Linked DNA regions of Xenopus tropicalis. The protein of the gene in region 5 interacts with the protein of the main gene of each other region in a biochemical or structural test. Links are inferred from orthologs where the notes say so. Each region holds a gene or a part of one and is shown on either strand. Other genes may lie near its edges. The genes, in order: khdrbs1, habp4, ubap2l, fus and prmt1.

Region 1 (2,940 bases), on a different chromosome or scaffold from region 5:
GTTAAACAATACTCCTAATAACTTTACAAATGTTAACCTCCTAGGTCACTGCTGTCCTACTTCTGTGGTACCAAAGGCTGGAATTTTTCTGGGCTAAATTGTAGAGGACTGATAATGGAAGCCAGTTTTGACCACTCTCCTTTTTTTTAAACCGCACCACTTCAAACCATGTTATAACAAACTTTTAAGACCATACCCATATTAATGTGGTAGCACAGCAAAAACCCAAATGGTTGGTGCTCACTGTAGGGATATCGCCCACAGAGGGGATCTGTGGGCTGCCAGTTGGACAGTACTGTCCTAGGTTGTGCTGGTCACCTGTAGTATAGTAGGCATTGTATTAGACTTAGTTCTCTATTAATTCCCTTGCTTTAAAGGCTAATTGTAAACATTTTTTAAGGGTTATGAAGACTCCTATGCAGAGCCAAGCTATGAAGGTTATGAGGGATATTACAGTCAAAGCCAAGGGTAAGTTTCATTTTACCTCAGTTAGTGTTCTTTTGGTCCCAAATATGATTTTATTGCTATTAAAGCATTATAATATTTGGAAATCATAGCATCTGTGCAAAGTCTAGATATGCAGCTTAGTGTATTTAGTAAAAATTATAAAATTCTGCTATGCGCTTTGGGTCCTACGGGAGAAAAGTGCTTTACAAATGGTTGTTGTTGTTGTTGTTGTTGTACTAAAATTGTACATTTTCTTTATCTAAAATTTTCAGAGAGACTGAATATTATGATTATGGTCATGGAGAGGGTCCTGAATCGTATGAGAGTTATGGTAAGTATCCAGGAGTGGATAGATAAGGTCCCCTATCTAATTAGACTGATAAATAAGATGACATAAGCTCATTCAGTTATGCTTAAAGGAATACTGTCATGGGAAAACCTGTGTTTTTCAAAACACATCAGTTCATAGAGCTTCTCCAGCAGAATCCTACATTGAAATCTGTATTTCAAAAACAGATTTTTTTATATTTAATTTTGAAACTTCACATGGGGCTAGCCATAGTCTTAATTTCCCAGGGTGTTACAGCCATGTGACCCGTGCCCAGTTAAAAGGTAGGCCGCCAGGCCACAAATATATAAACGATATAGCATATGCAAACTAGACAAATGTTTATAATCAATCTTTGTTCCATTTGACAAATGCATACGTTTAATGTAAATACAATTATATGTTTACCAAATATGATAAAAACAATAAACATCAAGTTTAAAAAAAATAAATAAATGTAATTTGCTTGATGTGTAGTACCTCTAGAACATGAAGAATTTAGTATTTGACCATTGTATGGCTGTATCTGTCTTCATTCTCTTTAAAATATGCTATTATGTTTCCTACTTATGGTAAAAGGGATATTTTGTCTTTAAATTTTTTTTTTCTTATGCTCCCCCATGTAGAAAACAATGAACAACTGCAAAGTTCTTTATATTACATTTTAAAGAAAAACCTAGATAATTTGTGTAAACTTGCTTGACAGCTTTTTGATCCTTTTAAAAGAATCTCTTCTCTTTACTGGGCACTTGTAAGAGGGGTTTAACATCTGTAACATCTGCCCTTTTAGAGTGAAATGACATAAAGGCTGTTTATGCCACAATAATTGACTGACAGAGCTCCTGCAGTGTTAATGGAATTTTATGTTTGCAGTTGGAATTATGTTCAACTGGTAATGTTTTTTTTTGGGGGGGGGGGGGGGGGGCTTGGGTGGGAGTGACTGCCATTATTAATAACTTATAGGAATATTACTTTTTACTGTTGTGCTTCGCACTTTTTTTTTTTTTTTTTTTTTACTATTGTAGTTTTTAATTGTGTGTATATGTATTTGTTTTTAAGGACAAGATAATTGGAATGGATCACGACCTTCACTTAAGGTTCCCTCTTCACGTCCTTTGAAGGGCGGTGCATACAGAGAACATCCTTATGGGCGCTTTTGAACATCTTTTCATCCAAACCATGTTTACCGATGTCTTGTGTTCGGGACTTCCTGTTCCTTAACCCACAATACACAAGTAAATTCTCTGTGCTCTGTGACCTCCCTCATATAGCTCCCTTTTCCCAAATTCCTTTGAAAGGACAATTTTAAAAAAAAAAATGGAGCAACTCTGAAATAGGCAGACTTTTTTTTAATATTTAGATCGTTTTACTTTGCGTTGTTAAAGAAACAAAAACTTTAAAAAATACAAAATGCTTTACATGTAAAATTTAGCTGCATTAAAGGGTAGTTTTTCAAAGTGACTTCAAAACAAGTTTCTTTAAATAAACAAAAGTAACTATAGCTTTAGGTTCTTTGTCCTGAACTAAGCTGCATTTCAAAATCCCATTACTTTGAGTAGTTAAAATTGTAGCTGTAATATTGTATGCTGTTTAAAACAAAAACTTTTGACTTTGTACTTAAAATCCACTTTATGTTATTAAACCTTATGGACAAAACTTGGTTAATGTTGTCTTAATTCACTTATGCACAAATAGGGAGGTAAGATAAACATTAAAATCAAAGTATAAACATTTAGCTGCAGAAACTGTATATTAAATAATAGGCTGTGTCCGAGTAAAGGGATGCTATCATCACATTCCCCTGCAGTTACATTTTGAAGCAAGGGTTTCATATAAGGCATTTAAAATAACCTTTTCAATATCCCTTTATATAGTTTTTACATTCCACTGTTGTGTTCAGGCCTCCCTGTGTTTTGATTTTATGGATGGTGATGTTTGTCATAAAGACTGTTAAAACTTCTCAAGAAAAGAGAACTTTTTGTGGCTGCAAGGAATTGGTTAGTCACAAATTACAGTAAACTCTGGAAGCAGAAAAAGTAATTTTCTAAATTAAAGAGAATGTTTTCTTTCTTTTTTCAAACTAAGTCTGCTCAACATTATGGGTTTTCAGCCACATTCAACTTTTTTAGTTTTGATGATAGTGTCCCTTTAACCTGCTCTACAGG
Region 2 (3,520 bases), on a different chromosome or scaffold from region 5:
TAAGCTCTTTTGGGCAGGGCCCTCTTCACCTCTTGTATCGGTTACTGATTGCTTTATATGTTACTCTGTATGTCCAATGTATGTAACCCACATATTGTACAGCGCTGCGGAATATGTTGCCGCTTTATAAATAAATGTTAATGTAATGTAATCTGGTGAGTGTGCATTTTTACCACATTTGGTGGAGGCACACGCTTTGCTCACTTGATTGTTTTGTCATTTTGCACACTGGTTGTGTATTGTACGAATTAACACTATTTTACTTTTTTTTTTTTTTCTAATGCGCTTCCATCATTCTCCTGGAACACATTTTGAGGCCTACTCAAAGGGGGCTTTTTTGAGGAAGCAGCAATCAAGATTCACACACACACAAGAAGGTTTTTTTTTTTACACTTTAACGCCGAGTTTTTGATTTGTTTTTTGCTATTTGATCTTTATGTAAATGCTTTTGTAATTCCCTGTGGACAGTTATAACAGTTGCTTGTCTTAACATGTGCCTAGCAGTTTCTATATTACGTTGAAACCAGCAACTGCAGAGATTATTTCTTGGATAACTGTTGGTCTATTTACATTACACTTCAAATGGGATTCTTGTTTTTCTAGACTAATTGTGCCTTCATAAATACTCAGTGGGAGAGGATACTTGTTCCTAACACATTTGTAAATCTCCCAATATATACTATAGCGTTGCACACTTTGCCAAACAACCCACTCTCTGTGCTTATTTTTAAGTAATATCAATATGTTCGTATAAAAATAGTTAGGAACACGTCAGTATTAGTAGGAACTCTGTACATGGACTTCACGTATAAGATTACAAAACTGCTGGTACCATTGGGCTAGGGGATAGAGTTGGAACCAGCACCACTACTACATCCTTTAGACACAGCTTTAGGTGCCTGGGAGTGGAAAACCTGTTGTCAGTCACGCCAGGCTAGGGACAGGAGGATTGCTCTGTATCTAGCCCAGTGTGACTAACACAATGGCACCTAAAGCTTTGTCTGCTGCATTAAGTACTACTTGCCTGGGGACACTTTTTTCTACACGAATCCATGCACGAACATTTTTTATTTGAAGAAACTCTTGCAGATGAATTGTAATGATTCGAGAATATTAATGACAGGATAGATGCAATGTTCCAGCAACAGGAAGCTTTACATTGAATTTTATTGCAGGAGAGTTCATGTCTCGCTTGTTTGTCATATTTAGTGTGAGTTTTTGCGTTTTAATTACTGAAGAAAATGGGGGGAAAACTCTCCTATGCATCTGTCCCTCTTAATGTTCTCTGTTCATTCAAAACCAACAAATTATCTCTAGTAGAATAAGACCAGAAGACAAGAGGGGTGGAGGTGGACCTCGCAACTGGGGCTCTATAAAAGAAGCTTTCAGGTATGACCCAGGTATCCTTAAGACTAATGCATTATTAAAATACAGATGTGACAAAAGATGGAGTAGGTGGTCCATGTTACCTAGATACCAGGGAAATAAAAGTTTAACAACCAGATAATTGGAGTTTTCTAGTTGATCAAAACCCACATGTCTAAACAAACTCCACTGATCTAAACAAACTATATGATATAGTACAATAAGTGCTTGACAGAACTGATATGGGTAAGGAAGCCGTGATATATTCTAGAAATTGCAGATGTAAAAGGAACTTGAGGTGGCCATATCTGTTAAGATCTGCTTGTTTGGCAGGGCACAAAACAAGAGGATCTTTACTCCTGATATGCCCACCTAAGGTGGGCTATATGGGGCTTTTTCAACTGTTTGGCCCTAGGGCCAACAAATTACAATGATGGGTATAAGCCTTCAGACCGAGATTCCTACTTTAATTGATAAAGGTGTGTAGCATTAATTTTTAAAAGGCTAGATATGATCAGCATTTTAAAGGATATTTTGGTTTTTGCATTTTGTTGCAGTAGGTGAACTCAAACTCTTACCCATCCAATGTAGTCTGAATACATGTGACTGTTGTAATATTGCTATTTTTTGGGTATAGATATTTTGCATTCAACAATTAGTTAGTCTGGCTGTTTAACAGATCGCTAGCTAAAGAAACAAATACACTTGTATTTTTTAAGTGAGATTGAGGCGGTTCCAGTAGAAGAGCAAGTTGAGCCTACTGAAACAACAGAAGCAACAGAGGAAGAACATGGCAAGTAAGTTTTGTTACACAAAGAACATCTTGCATTCACTTCCTGAACTACTTTTCCTAATCTGATTCCAGGAAATAAATAGCATGGGAACAATAGATTGGTAGGAGCTGAAGAGCCATATATGACTAAGGCAACGGCACATGTGGCTTATGGCTAACTGGACAACTTGTGCTTATGGCACAAATTAAATGTTTTGGCCAATAGTTGTTTGTTTTTTTTTTTTTTTTTTTTCTTTCCAAACAATTCCTTTTAACTGTAAAGGGAAGCAGTCGGATATTGTAAAAAAAAAAAAAAAACCTTAACGACAAAAAGAATTCGGGGAGATTACTTGCCCACCATAAATCTTCGTTACCACAGGCGACTAATCTCCCCGCAATGTCATCCCACTGGCACCGGATATCACTGGTGGGATGGCATATGCCTTGCTTTGGTTTCCCAAAGTTGCCTCACAAGGAAACTTGGGAAAACCTGAAGCGATGCATATGCCATCCCACAGGTGATTTACATTCTTCCGATGCTGCCGGTGGGATGACATTGTGGGGAGATTAGTCGCCTGTGGTAATGAAGATTTATGGTGGGCGACTAATCTCCCCGTGTGCCTCTGCCCTTAGAGCATATATGTCAAACACAAGGCCGGGGGCCAAATCCAGCCCACCTGGCTGTTTTATGTGGCCTTTGGTGAGTGTGTCTGACAATCCAGCCTGATCAATTTCCATTTTCCTCACATTGTAACTAAGACTAAGGGGTATATTTATCATGCTGTTTAAAAAGTGGAGTGAAGCATTACCAGTAATGTTGCCCAAGGCGTCCAATCAGTAATCTGATTTCAACAGTAGCAAAGCATCTATTGGCTGCTATGAGCAACATCACCGGTAATGTCTTACTCCACTTTTTACAGATTGTGATAAATATACCCCTTAGTACCTTACTAAGTATATTAATGAAAAATTTGGCCCGCGACTTAGCCTGTGTTTTTAGATTTTGCCCCCTTATGTGATTTAAGTTTGACAACCCTGCCTTAGAGTATGGAGAATTATTAAACATGAGTGTCTGTCTTTGTAGAGTTCCTGAAGAAATAAATGAAGGATTTTCTCAAGAAATGTCCCTTGATGAATGGAAGTCTCTCCAGGATCAGAACAGGGCTAAGACGGAATTTAACTTGCGTAAACCAGAAACCTCTGTGCCTTCCAAAGCTGTGGTAATCCATAAATCTAAATATAAAAATGTAAGTATTTGATTTTTTTTTTTCCCCTCCGTGATGAGCACACAGCACAATAATCATAATCTATACACTGAGGGCCTGTGCCCATGTGGTAAGCACAGATGTTGCACTTCAAGCAGTAATTGTGATCTGCCTTTCC
Region 3 (3,520 bases), on a different chromosome or scaffold from region 5:
GGCCTGGGCCCAATGACATAGAAACTCCCAGCAGCCACAGCAAACAGATAGCTAAGAATGCTGGGACGCGTGACCCCCCCCCCCCCCCAGAGTATGGCAGTGCCACATACCTGAGAGGCGTGGGGGCACTTTGCAGATCCTCAGAGTGAGCGAGGCTACTGAGCTGTGAGGAATGGGCTCCGGCGCCGGTGAGCAGGGACGATGTAGACACCGGGTCGCTGAGGGGAACAATGGTGGGAGCAGAGGGTGAATCTGCCTTCACACTGGGCACAGAGGGAACTGGAAGAGATGATGAAATGAGAAGCATGAAGTCGCTCTGCCTGAAAGCAAGGAGCCTAAATGTGCTGTAAATACAGATTCCCAATGCAGGAAAGCTGTCGGCACCCAGCAAAATCCTCCGCCAAAGGCGCTGACAGATTACTTAGCCAGGGGCCATATTTGTTTAGCACGCGTTGTCCCCCCTTTATGGCTACGGAAAGTCAGAAAGGGTCTACTAGCGTGCACTGCCACCAACACACTATATAACTGTGTGACCAGTTGCACTGTATAAGCACAACAGCAACACTATCTTTTAGTATAATGTAATTGGTTTGCATTGTTCTTTTTCAGTTCAGCAAGCTCTCTAGTTTGACATTTCACCAGCTATCTGGTTGCTAGGGTCTTGTTTACCTTAGCAACCAGGCAGTAGATTGATCGAGAGACTGAATATAAAGATAATAAATAGAAAGTAACAATAATATCTTTTTACGCTCACACAGCAATAGTTTTTGGCTGCCGGGGTCGGTGACCCCCATTTGAAAGCTGGAAGGACGTAGAAAAAGGCAAAAACTTAAAATAAACATTTTCAAAGTTGCTAGGAATAGGACATTCTACTTACCCTCGACTGACACCGGGGCTTGCAACGTCGGAGCCTGCACTGAACTGAAGCCATTCTGCAGAGACACAATGGGGGGAGATAGAACAGTGAGTGGGGGTACCGATATCCTGAACAACTACAACAGCTGGGAGCAGGCACAATCAGACCCTAAAAGCCTACAGATACCGGCCGGACCACCCAGTGTATGCCACATTAACAGAAATAAAGGGAAAGACCACCTCTGGATACTGAGCCCCTAAAAATCGACAAGCCACACTACTCACCTTGGATTGGCTGAGGTCTTTCTGTGGGGAGGATGAGGAAGAGGAGGAGATGGGGTTGGGGTACCGCCGGGTCTGTGTGGCCCTCTGTTCGTACACTGGGCCTTGGGTGCTGCTCTGAGGTGTAAACGTTGCTGACTGTATGCTGCTGCTGCCCTGATAGGCAGACTCTGGGCTCTGATTGGCTGCGATGGTGTTGGGCGATTCACTGTGAAGGGAGGGGAAGAGTTAATGGCTGTACCTATAGAGCAGTTGGGGCTATGTGGGTGCAGATTCAAGATGAACCACCAGGTATTTCTGATGGGTCCCCTGTCAGCACCTCATTCCTGTGCCATGAAACTGTCCCCCCTTAGTGACTACTGATACAGCCAGAAAGGGTCTACTGTCATGGAATCCATTGGGGCCCCCCCCCCTTCCCATCCTTAATAGTGACTAAATAGAAATGGAGCGGCCAACTTACCTTACGGGGCTGGTATAGAGGCTGTTTTGGGACTGGCTCACAGCCACGTTGGTGGTGGGTGAAGACTCGTACTCAGGGAGGACAGGCTCAGATCCAAACAGCAAGGCCCCGAATTGCAGGTTTAGCCCAGAGATGTCAGAAGAGCCGGGCATTTCCACTGCCAGAGCAGGTATCTGTAAGCATTGAAACCAGAGACTAAGCCCGGGGCCCGAGACTAAGCCCGGGGCCCGAGACTAAGCCCGGGGCCCGAGACTAAGCCCGGGGCCCGAGACTAAGCCCGGGGCCCGAGACTAAGCCCGGGGCCCGAGACTAAGCCCGGGGCCCGAGACTAAGCCCGGGGCCCGAGACTAAGCCCGGGGCCCGAGACTAAGCCCGGGGCCCGAGACTAAGCCCGGGGCCCGAGACTAAGCCCGGGGCCCGAGACTAAGCCCGGGGCCCGAGACTAAGCCCGGGGCCCGAGACTAAGCCCGGGGCCCGAGACTAAGCCCGGGGCCCGAGACTAAGCCCGGGGCCCCAGACTAAGCCCGGGGCCCCAGACTAAGCCCGGGGCCCCAGACTAAGCCCGGGGCCCCAGACTAAGCCCGGGGCCCCAGACTAAGCCCGGGGCCCCAGACTAAGCCCGGGGCCCCAGACTAAGCCCGGGGCCCCAGACTAAGCCCGGGGCCCCAGACTAAGCCCGGGGCCCCAGACTAAGCCCGGGGCCCCAGACTAAGCCATAAGCCTGAGCTGCTTGAATACCTTGGATGTTAGAGAGGCTTTCTTTTTCTGCTGCTTCATCTTCTGCTGAGCCGGCTGAGGGCTACTAGACTGGTTCTCTGAGGACACCGGGGACATCTGGGGGGCAGTGTTGCTCTTGCCATGGAGAGGGGAAGATGGACACACTGGCACAGCAGACGAAGTGCTGACCACAGGCGTCTTCTCCTGCAGATACACTTCCATCATGGTGGAGGCCTGGGGAAAGCTTTGACGCTTGCTGAACGGGTCAGATGGACTCTTCATATCTGAAGCCACACACAAAACATACACTATAATACACCCTTGTTCTGGGGATGGAACTATTAATCATAATATGTTAGAGCCCCAACAACAGCAATGGATGTGGAAATGTTGGCTCGCTGCAGGAGAATCTGGCCATATGAACCGAGAATCACTCCATGCTGGGAACTACATTACTCTTGCATGCACTGTCCCCCCTTTATGGCTACTGAAACAACCAAAAAGGGTCTACTGGCATGCAGCAGTGGGATAATAGCCTCTGGGAAGGGACTGGGGCTGTGGGATAGCAGGTATAGTAGGGAGAGATGGTGCCTATAGTAGCAGTGGGGGGATAATAGCCTCTGGGAAGGGACTGGGGCTGTGGGATAGCAGGTATAGTAGGGAGAGATGGTGCCTATAGTAGCAGTGGGGGGATAATAGCCTCTGGGAAGGGACTGGTGCTGTGGGATAGCAGGTATAGTAGGGAGAGATGGTGCCTATAGTAGCAGTGGGGGGATAATAGCCTCTGGGAAGGGACTGGGGCTGTGGGATAGCAGGTATAGTAGGGAGAGATGGTGCCTATAGTAGCAGTGGGGGGATAATAGCCTCTGGGAAGGGACTGGGGCTGTGGGATAGCAGGTATAGTAGGGAGAGATGGTGCCTATAGTAGCAAGTGGGGGGATAATAACCTCTGGGAAGGGACTGGGGCTGTGGGATAGCAGGTATAGTAGGGAGAGATGGTGCCTATAGTAGCAGTGGGGGGATAATAGCCTCTGGGAAGGGACTGGGGCTGTGGGATAGCAGGTATAGTAGGGAGAGATGGTGCCTATAGTAGCAGTGGGGGGATAATAGCCTCTGGAAGGACTGGGGCTGTGGGATAGCAGGTATAGTAGGGAGAGATGGTGCCTATAGTAGCAGGGGGGGGATAATAGCCTCTGGGAAGGGACT
Region 4 (3,520 bases), on a different chromosome or scaffold from region 5:
TCATATTCTCACAACTCCTGCGAAGAGACGAACAATTTAGCCACAGGTACATACACACAATGCAATAAATAAAAAAAAAATTATACTGATATAACTAAACTTACGGGTTGGGGCACTTCCAGTCTCCAGCTCGTTGCTGGCCTCCACCACCACTTGGGTATCCACCACTACCACCCCGACTGCCACTTCCTCCAGGGGGCCCACCAAAGCCTCCACGTCCCATTGGTCCTATTTGCAGGTTAAAACAAAAGAAAACTCCATTGAGACAAAATGCTAAAATCTGAATATTACTGTCAGAGCTGCTGCAGTTACAAATACCTGCCAATAGGTGGAGTCAGTCATACAGAGTTGGAACATATGACTGAATCATCATGTATGTAACACTTTATAAAATACCTGCAGTATTCAGTTATCCCTTTTTTACACACAAGCTGTGTCAATTCATTGACATTTTATTACTGATTACTGGCTGAATCTCAAGAGATTACACATTTTATTCTAGTTGAGAGCAGAGTATAATAAAGGGGTGGGCAAACTACAGCCTGCAGGCCACGTCTGGCCCCTTGGTCCGTTTAATCCGGCCGCTGACTCCGCAACTCTCATCACGTAAGACTTGGGTGTCTGGGGACTGACAAGCGGAAACAGCGTTACCCTGGCCCTACTCGGCGGTAAGTCAACGTGGCCTGAGCCAAAAAGTTTGCCCACCCCTGGTATAATACGTGCAACAAAATCCAGTATTTCTCTGCAAATGCCGACTGGATAATTGAAGAAAACAGATTTTAAACTAAATGCTCAGAGTTGTAAATAAAAGGCAATTAAAAACTCACCGCCACCACGTCCTCTGCCTCTTCCATTGCCGCCACCTCGACTATTAAAATCTGCTCTTCTTGTGGCAAAAGACACTTTTATCGGATTGCCGGAGAACTCTTTGCCTACAGATAAATGGAATATTTCATTCATTATCTATATAATTCCCATAACCTTTATAACATGCTCATATCAGGCACTTCGTTCTGCTTGCCTGGTTCACCGAATAACTTAACATACACAAACCTATGTCAAGCTGAGCAGCCATGGGTTTACATTTAAAAGTAAGTCAGAATTTAGATATTTTTGGAAGAAAAAAAAAGAAAACTCACCATCAAACCAATCGATAGCAGCCTTGGCAGATGGTGGGTCATCAAAGGAAACTGTGGCTTCTCCTTTCAGTTTGCCAGTTTCACGGTCTGTGTAAAGGTTAATCATAGGCTGCCCAGTCTTCTTGTTAGTCTAGTGAGAGAAAATTTATAATGTAACTAAAATGTTTCAGCAATACTGGACAGATGCAAACAGTCTAACCTCTAAGGCAGTGATCCCCAACCAGTGGCAGGAGAGCTACATGTTGCTACCTGCCCCTTTGATGGGGGAAGCAGGTGCCATTTTGACATTTCTGGCTTGGAGGCAAGTTTTGGAAGCCCAGAGACCGTTTTACCCCAAGCAGAGACTACAGTTCACATGAGGTTACCAAATAGCCAATCAGAGTCCTTATTTGGTACCCCAAAGAACTTTATTCATGCTTGTGTGGCCCTCAAGTAAAGGCTGGAGATTCCTGCTCTAAGGTCGTAAAATTGGCTTAGTGAATGTTCGCATTGTTTGTTGCACATAAATAAACCTATAGTTATCAAGCTTTACAATTGATCATACATTTACTCAAACCCACCAAAAACTTGTAAAAGCCATCAGTTGTGCTACAGCCCCATGTATCATAAAACCCCTTAACATACTATTGTCACAAGTTTGCCCATACATGCACAATACTGCTATACATGAGGGAGCTGACCTTCCACCAGTTCTATTGGTAGCAGAAACACACTAATGTATATCATTTACTCAAACCACATAAAACTGATGACAATATCTATGTGAAAGGCCCCATTGTGACCTCTGCTGGTAGGTTTGCAGTTACCCATTTGATTGAGCTCAGACACAATACCCATTGCCTTTCACAATAAACCTGACCCAGTTGTTGGTTAACACCACATGGGATTCGAAACCCACAGCATTAATAGTTGACAGAAATAAAGTCACTTCTAAATAACTTGCAAAATGTATGTTAAAGTGTCAAGGTCACCCTTACCTTAATGATTCCAATTTGTTTGAAGTAGTCAGCAACTGACTCAACTGTAACATTCTCTCCAAGTCCTTGCACGAAGATTGTGTTGTTGTCAGAGTTGTCTTGTTCGGCTTTAAAGAAATAATACATTTGTTAATTAAAATTCAAAGTTGCACTGTTGTCACAAACACTTTCCAAAACACTAAAAAAAAAAAAAAAACAATTATCAGATACTGACCCATTTCATGTCTGGGGGGTCCGCCGCCTTCACGTGGTCCTTGAGAAAAGCAGAGACAAAAGCCATTTTAGAAAAGTGATTTTCCATTGTGGGAAGTCCAGCAAAACCTAAAGCCCACACCCAAACATTCACAAAACACCCATATGAACCAGTCGGTTAAACATTAAGACGTTAAAATCCCAAATCTGAATGACGCCGAGAATTATGGTCTTAGAACACATTCGAGGGTAACAGAAAGCCCATGTTATATGTAGGCAGAGCGGTATTGTGTAAACCTTGTAGCCTAACACCACACAAGCAATAGAAGTGAACCACTGCAAGCATATTAATGATACCATAATAATGTGTATTGTGAATGCTCATTCCTAGTTCCGTTACCTCCCCTGCTTGCACAATTCCCTTTGTTGCATTGGTGACTTTTTCCCGGTCAGTTTGCACGATGTAAAGATTTGCACACACTTCATTGCAGAATATAAACGGTTACATTCCCTGCATGCTAGCCAGTGAAGGTATCACATACACCATTATATGTACAAGGCACCTCTGCACCATAACCTTTTGATTATTTTTTTTTTTAAAGTCACACCGTAAGTCTCCTACATGGTTACACCTCATCGACTTATAGTATAATATCTATTTACCAAGTATAAAAATATATTTACCAAGAACCCAACCGTAACATTGTTTGTAAAGTCCCAGTTTGCATGCATATACCACATCTGTGCCCTTATTAAATGCATTCTCTGCATTGGTCTCAGTGCACACACCGTAACATTTGCTTTTTTTCTGATGTCTGATGTAACCGTTTAATTGCACTGACGCAAAAAGTTACATACACCGGAATGTTTTAGAAGCCCACTACTTCACAATGGAGTATTCCAGTTATACACCCAGTGCTATATGAATGACTTTAAATGGAAAACAGTACAGGAGTTGGGTTTGAGATTTTGAACTCTTCACTTACCACCAAATTTACTGAATCCTCCCCGTTCACCACCGCTGAGAAGACAATTAGGAGAAATTGAAGTTTTTGTTTGTGTTTCCCGAGGCTACAGTAGTTTTCTGATTCAGCAACACACCGTGTCTAGGCGTGCCAGCACTCTGCACAACTAACACACTTGCTTCTTTACGTAAGTTCCACTGCTAAAGCGTTTGTGCTACATGACGCCTTCTTTGATTCTATGCCATTT
Region 5 (2,925 bases):
AAGCAAAGTACATGACAAATTGTGTTGAGGCAGTTAAACCCCTTTTCAAAGCAGTTCTGGACTGGTTTTAAACAAGTTACAAAGTTTTGGGGGCACAGTAGAAGGCCATACATTAATGCATAGCAAGAACTAACTTTGAACTGACTAAAAAAGTCTAAATATAAAAATGGGCTTTAACCATAGAAATGAAGTGGTTAGGCAGAACTTTGACCAGTGCAGTTATATATTTAAGGAATACATAATCTAAGTCTGCCCAGCTGCATTTCCATTCATCTCCATAACAGTGCCAATACTTATTATAGCTGGGAATGATGGAAATTTGTACCATGCAACACATCGGCACTTACACCAGTCACACTGAAATCTGGTATATTAAACACACATATAGGAAGAGATGCCACTGGGCTTTCACATGCATGGATTTGCTTTAACTCAAAACTGGCACCAAAGCAGCAAATAAGACTTACAGTGAATTTTGTAGTCTTTGTATTGTCTATCCTCAATAGCAGTTACATACAGTGTAGCACGATCTGGAAATATTAACCCATCTGGAGTCTGAAAGATATGCAAGTACATAGAAGCACATGGCATTAAAAAAAAAACTTCTGGCATTTCAACTAAAGTATACATTTCCTTAGCAAGTGTATATACAAGGTTACATTACATCCAGCTATCACTGGTGTAAACCCAGTAATAGCTGATGTAATGTCATTAGCATTGTTGTATTAGGTACAACAATGCAGAGAGCCTTAGCACCATTGGCACAATCAAATCCAACAAACTGTTTACATTTTTAAATACAAGATACTCGTTCTTGACACTTCTTGCGAACTTACCAGCCATTTATCCCGTGCATAGATAACAGTGTTCAGCATTGATTCATAGAACAGACAATATCCCATCCATTCACTGATTATGATGTCCACTTTTTCTACTGGGAGCTCCACCTCTTCTACTTTGCCTTTGATGATTGTAACCACTAAAGGAGAATAATAAGTGGTTAGAATGCAGTCTAGATGGAAACAGTAATGCACTTAAGACAACCGTGTTGTTACCTACCATGATCTAGTTTATTTGCCTTCACGATTTTTATGGCATAGTCAGATATACTTGAGCACTCAATCTAAGTGAAAAAGAATGTAGTGTTAGTTGAGAAGATTTAAACAAATACAATTGTATGTATCCAACCCACTTACCCCCTCTCTGCCTCAACATTCCTCCCCCCCTAAACTTAAATGGATACAGACAAAATTACTCCTCAATTAATGTACATAAGTTACAGGCAATGCTGATCATTTTTAAGTACTTGATGTTCCTAAATGTGTTTTGCCAACCTGACTGTCCCTTCTCAACCTGTCAGTTATAGCTTCTAATGCCAACTGACTCCTACTGCTGCATAAATGGCAGCCCCCTCAATGGAAAATGGGGATTGGCTGTGTAATGTAAAAGCACTGGGCAAACACTTCTATGGCAAAATTATTAATGCATGCAAAGAATGTCCTGTTTTAAAGAAGGGTTTAAATTCTTGTGTCAGTGTCTAATATACGCTATATTAAAAATACTGCATCACAGCACCTGCAGGAAAGGGACTATGATAAGAAATATTCAGATATATGGTGCACACTACCAAGCACCAGTCAGGGGAATGTAAGAGGACAAACTTCTATACCACCTACTAGCTAGTAGAGCTGGATGCATCAGGGAACATGCCTAAAAAAAAAACTCAGCGTTTCTAAATCGCAACCCCATGGGGTAGAGGTTTTTATCTTACCCCAATAACTTTCTTGGCACCAGCCTTTGCTGCAAACATGCAGAGAATACCCGTGCCACTCCCAACATCCAAGACTACTTTATCTTTAAATAGATGTCTGTTGTGAAACATTGAGTTACGATATGTCAGCGTTCGAACTTCATCTTTTAACATCTCCTGCAGAAAGAAAATGGATCAGAAAAACTCATGGACAGTTATCTTTAAAATATTAGTCTACGCAGGGGTTAACTTACCTCATGGATGCCAAAGTGAGCATACGAGTCAAAGTAGTAATCTTTTGATGTCATGTCCTCCGCATTTGGCTTCACACTGCTCTCAGGCTGAGTACAAGAAACCTTCAAATAAGAAAATGCATGCATAAGTCTTAGACACCCATATACAGGCAAGACCTCCAAGGAACAAGACACCTAACATAAGCAATATGGGTGCCTGAAGAACCACATTACTGCCTTGTGATGTTTCAATTTCATATTGCATTCACATCACTCATGATTAGATTAATTCTACAACCTAGAGACAGAATGCAGATGGTAAAAATAACTTCTAGAATGCCATGTTTCCCAGCTGTGGGCCAAAATGCTGACAGCTACTGTCACAGTAGAAGCCATTTTATAATACTCCTTCCTTCTGTACAGTCTTAAAGAGCCAGCAAACTATAGTGAAAGTATTCCTGCAACTGTAAATTACCAACCATTACCTGAATGTCTGCATTTATCACACATATGCTTTGAATTTGCAACAGAAGAAAACTTGTGTTCTGGAATGGCAAAGAGCCCAAATCTCAATCCAATAGAGATGCCATGGCACAACCAAAGACTATATAAACAATTTATGTTTAGTTTAAGCAAGTTACGCCTCATTTTTCATAAATGGCACAACATATGTACAGGTAGAGTAACCCATAGCGGCCAGATGTTTACTTTGAAACAGTAAATACTGTAACTGGGTGCTGTAATTAGACTTATCAATAACTATATATAGCTGAAAACCAGATAATGTGAGTAATGCAGAAATCCAGGTACTGAAGTTTGCAAACTTCTTACAAAAGAAAAATTTGAGGTTATGTTTTCTCCATGCTTGCACAGGTTTCCTTTATTCCATTACCTCCCACACTCCCAAAACAGTCAGGTAAACTGGTCCCTGAGAAAACAGAC

The links.
Region 1: of the proteins of prmt1 (region 5) and khdrbs1, one has a biochemical effect on the other in vitro, tested with the Homo sapiens proteins (2 studies listed by BioGRID). The link is inferred for Xenopus tropicalis from reciprocal best matches to the Homo sapiens genes PRMT1 and KHDRBS1.
Region 2: the proteins of prmt1 (region 5) and habp4 form a complex in vitro, tested with the Homo sapiens proteins (2 studies listed by BioGRID, with this or other methods). The link is inferred for Xenopus tropicalis from reciprocal best matches to the Homo sapiens genes PRMT1 and HABP4.
Region 3: of the proteins of prmt1 (region 5) and ubap2l, one has a biochemical effect on the other in vitro, tested with the Homo sapiens proteins (2 studies listed by BioGRID, with this or other methods). The link is inferred for Xenopus tropicalis from reciprocal best matches to the Homo sapiens genes PRMT1 and UBAP2L.
Region 4: of the proteins of prmt1 (region 5) and fus, one has a biochemical effect on the other in vitro, tested with the Homo sapiens proteins (3 studies listed by BioGRID). The link is inferred for Xenopus tropicalis from reciprocal best matches to the Homo sapiens genes PRMT1 and FUS.

What each region holds. Positions count from the first base shown.
Region 1 is NC_030678.2:86,528,310-86,531,249, forward strand, and holds the end of khdrbs1 (KH domain-containing, RNA-binding, signal transduction-associated protein 1), read left to right. Parts: intron 1-400; coding exon 401-468; intron 469-719; coding exon 720-778; intron 779-1,834; coding exon 1,835-1,935; 3' UTR 1,936-2,427; downstream 2,428-2,940. UniProt on the Homo sapiens protein: Recruited and tyrosine phosphorylated by several receptor systems, for example the T-cell, leptin and insulin receptors. Once phosphorylated, functions as an adapter protein in signal transduction cascades by binding to SH2 and SH3 domain-containing proteins.
Region 2 is NC_030677.2:136,242,919-136,246,438, forward strand, and holds part of habp4 (intracellular hyaluronan-binding protein 4), read left to right. Parts: intron 1-1,317; coding exon of another isoform or gene 1,318-1,389; intron 1,390-2,084; coding exon 2,085-2,162; intron 2,163-3,221; coding exon 3,222-3,384; intron 3,385-3,520. UniProt on the Homo sapiens protein: Ribosome-binding protein that promotes ribosome hibernation, a process during which ribosomes are stabilized in an inactive state and preserved from proteasomal degradation.
Region 3 is NC_030684.2:143,447,705-143,451,224, forward strand, and holds part of ubap2l (ubiquitin-associated protein 2-like), read right to left. Parts: intron 2,599-3,520; coding exon 2,336-2,598; intron 1,771-2,335; coding exon 1,598-1,770; intron 1,346-1,597; coding exon 1,141-1,345; intron 933-1,140; coding exon 878-932; intron 280-877; coding exon 111-279; intron 1-110. UniProt on the Homo sapiens protein: Recruits the ubiquitination machinery to RNA polymerase II for polyubiquitination, removal and degradation, when the transcription-coupled nucleotide excision repair (TC-NER) machinery fails to resolve DNA damage.
Region 4 is NC_030685.2:6,027,080-6,030,599, forward strand, and holds part of fus (RNA-binding protein FUS), read right to left. Parts: intron 3,330-3,520; coding exon 3,295-3,329; intron 2,370-3,294; coding exon 2,331-2,369; intron 2,224-2,330; coding exon 2,117-2,223; intron 1,270-2,116; coding exon 1,140-1,269; intron 933-1,139; coding exon 828-932; intron 229-827; coding exon 105-228; intron 18-104; coding exon 1-17. UniProt on the Homo sapiens protein: DNA/RNA-binding protein that plays a role in various cellular processes such as transcription regulation, RNA splicing, RNA transport, DNA repair and damage response. Binds to ssRNA containing the consensus sequence 5'-AGGUAA-3'.
Region 5 is NC_030683.2:111,009,006-111,011,930, reverse strand, and holds part of prmt1 (protein arginine N-methyltransferase 1), read right to left. Parts: intron 2,107-2,925; coding exon 2,005-2,106; intron 1,928-2,004; coding exon 1,772-1,927; intron 1,124-1,771; coding exon 1,060-1,123; intron 980-1,059; coding exon 837-979; intron 556-836; coding exon 468-555; intron 1-467. UniProt on the Homo sapiens protein: Arginine methyltransferase that methylates (mono and asymmetric dimethylation) the guanidino nitrogens of arginyl residues present in proteins such as ESR1, histone H2, H3 and H4, FMR1, ILF3, HNRNPA1, HNRNPD, NFATC2IP, SUPT5H, TAF15, EWS, HABP4, SERBP1, RBM15, FOXO1, CHTOP, MAP3K5/ASK1, MICU1 and NPRL2.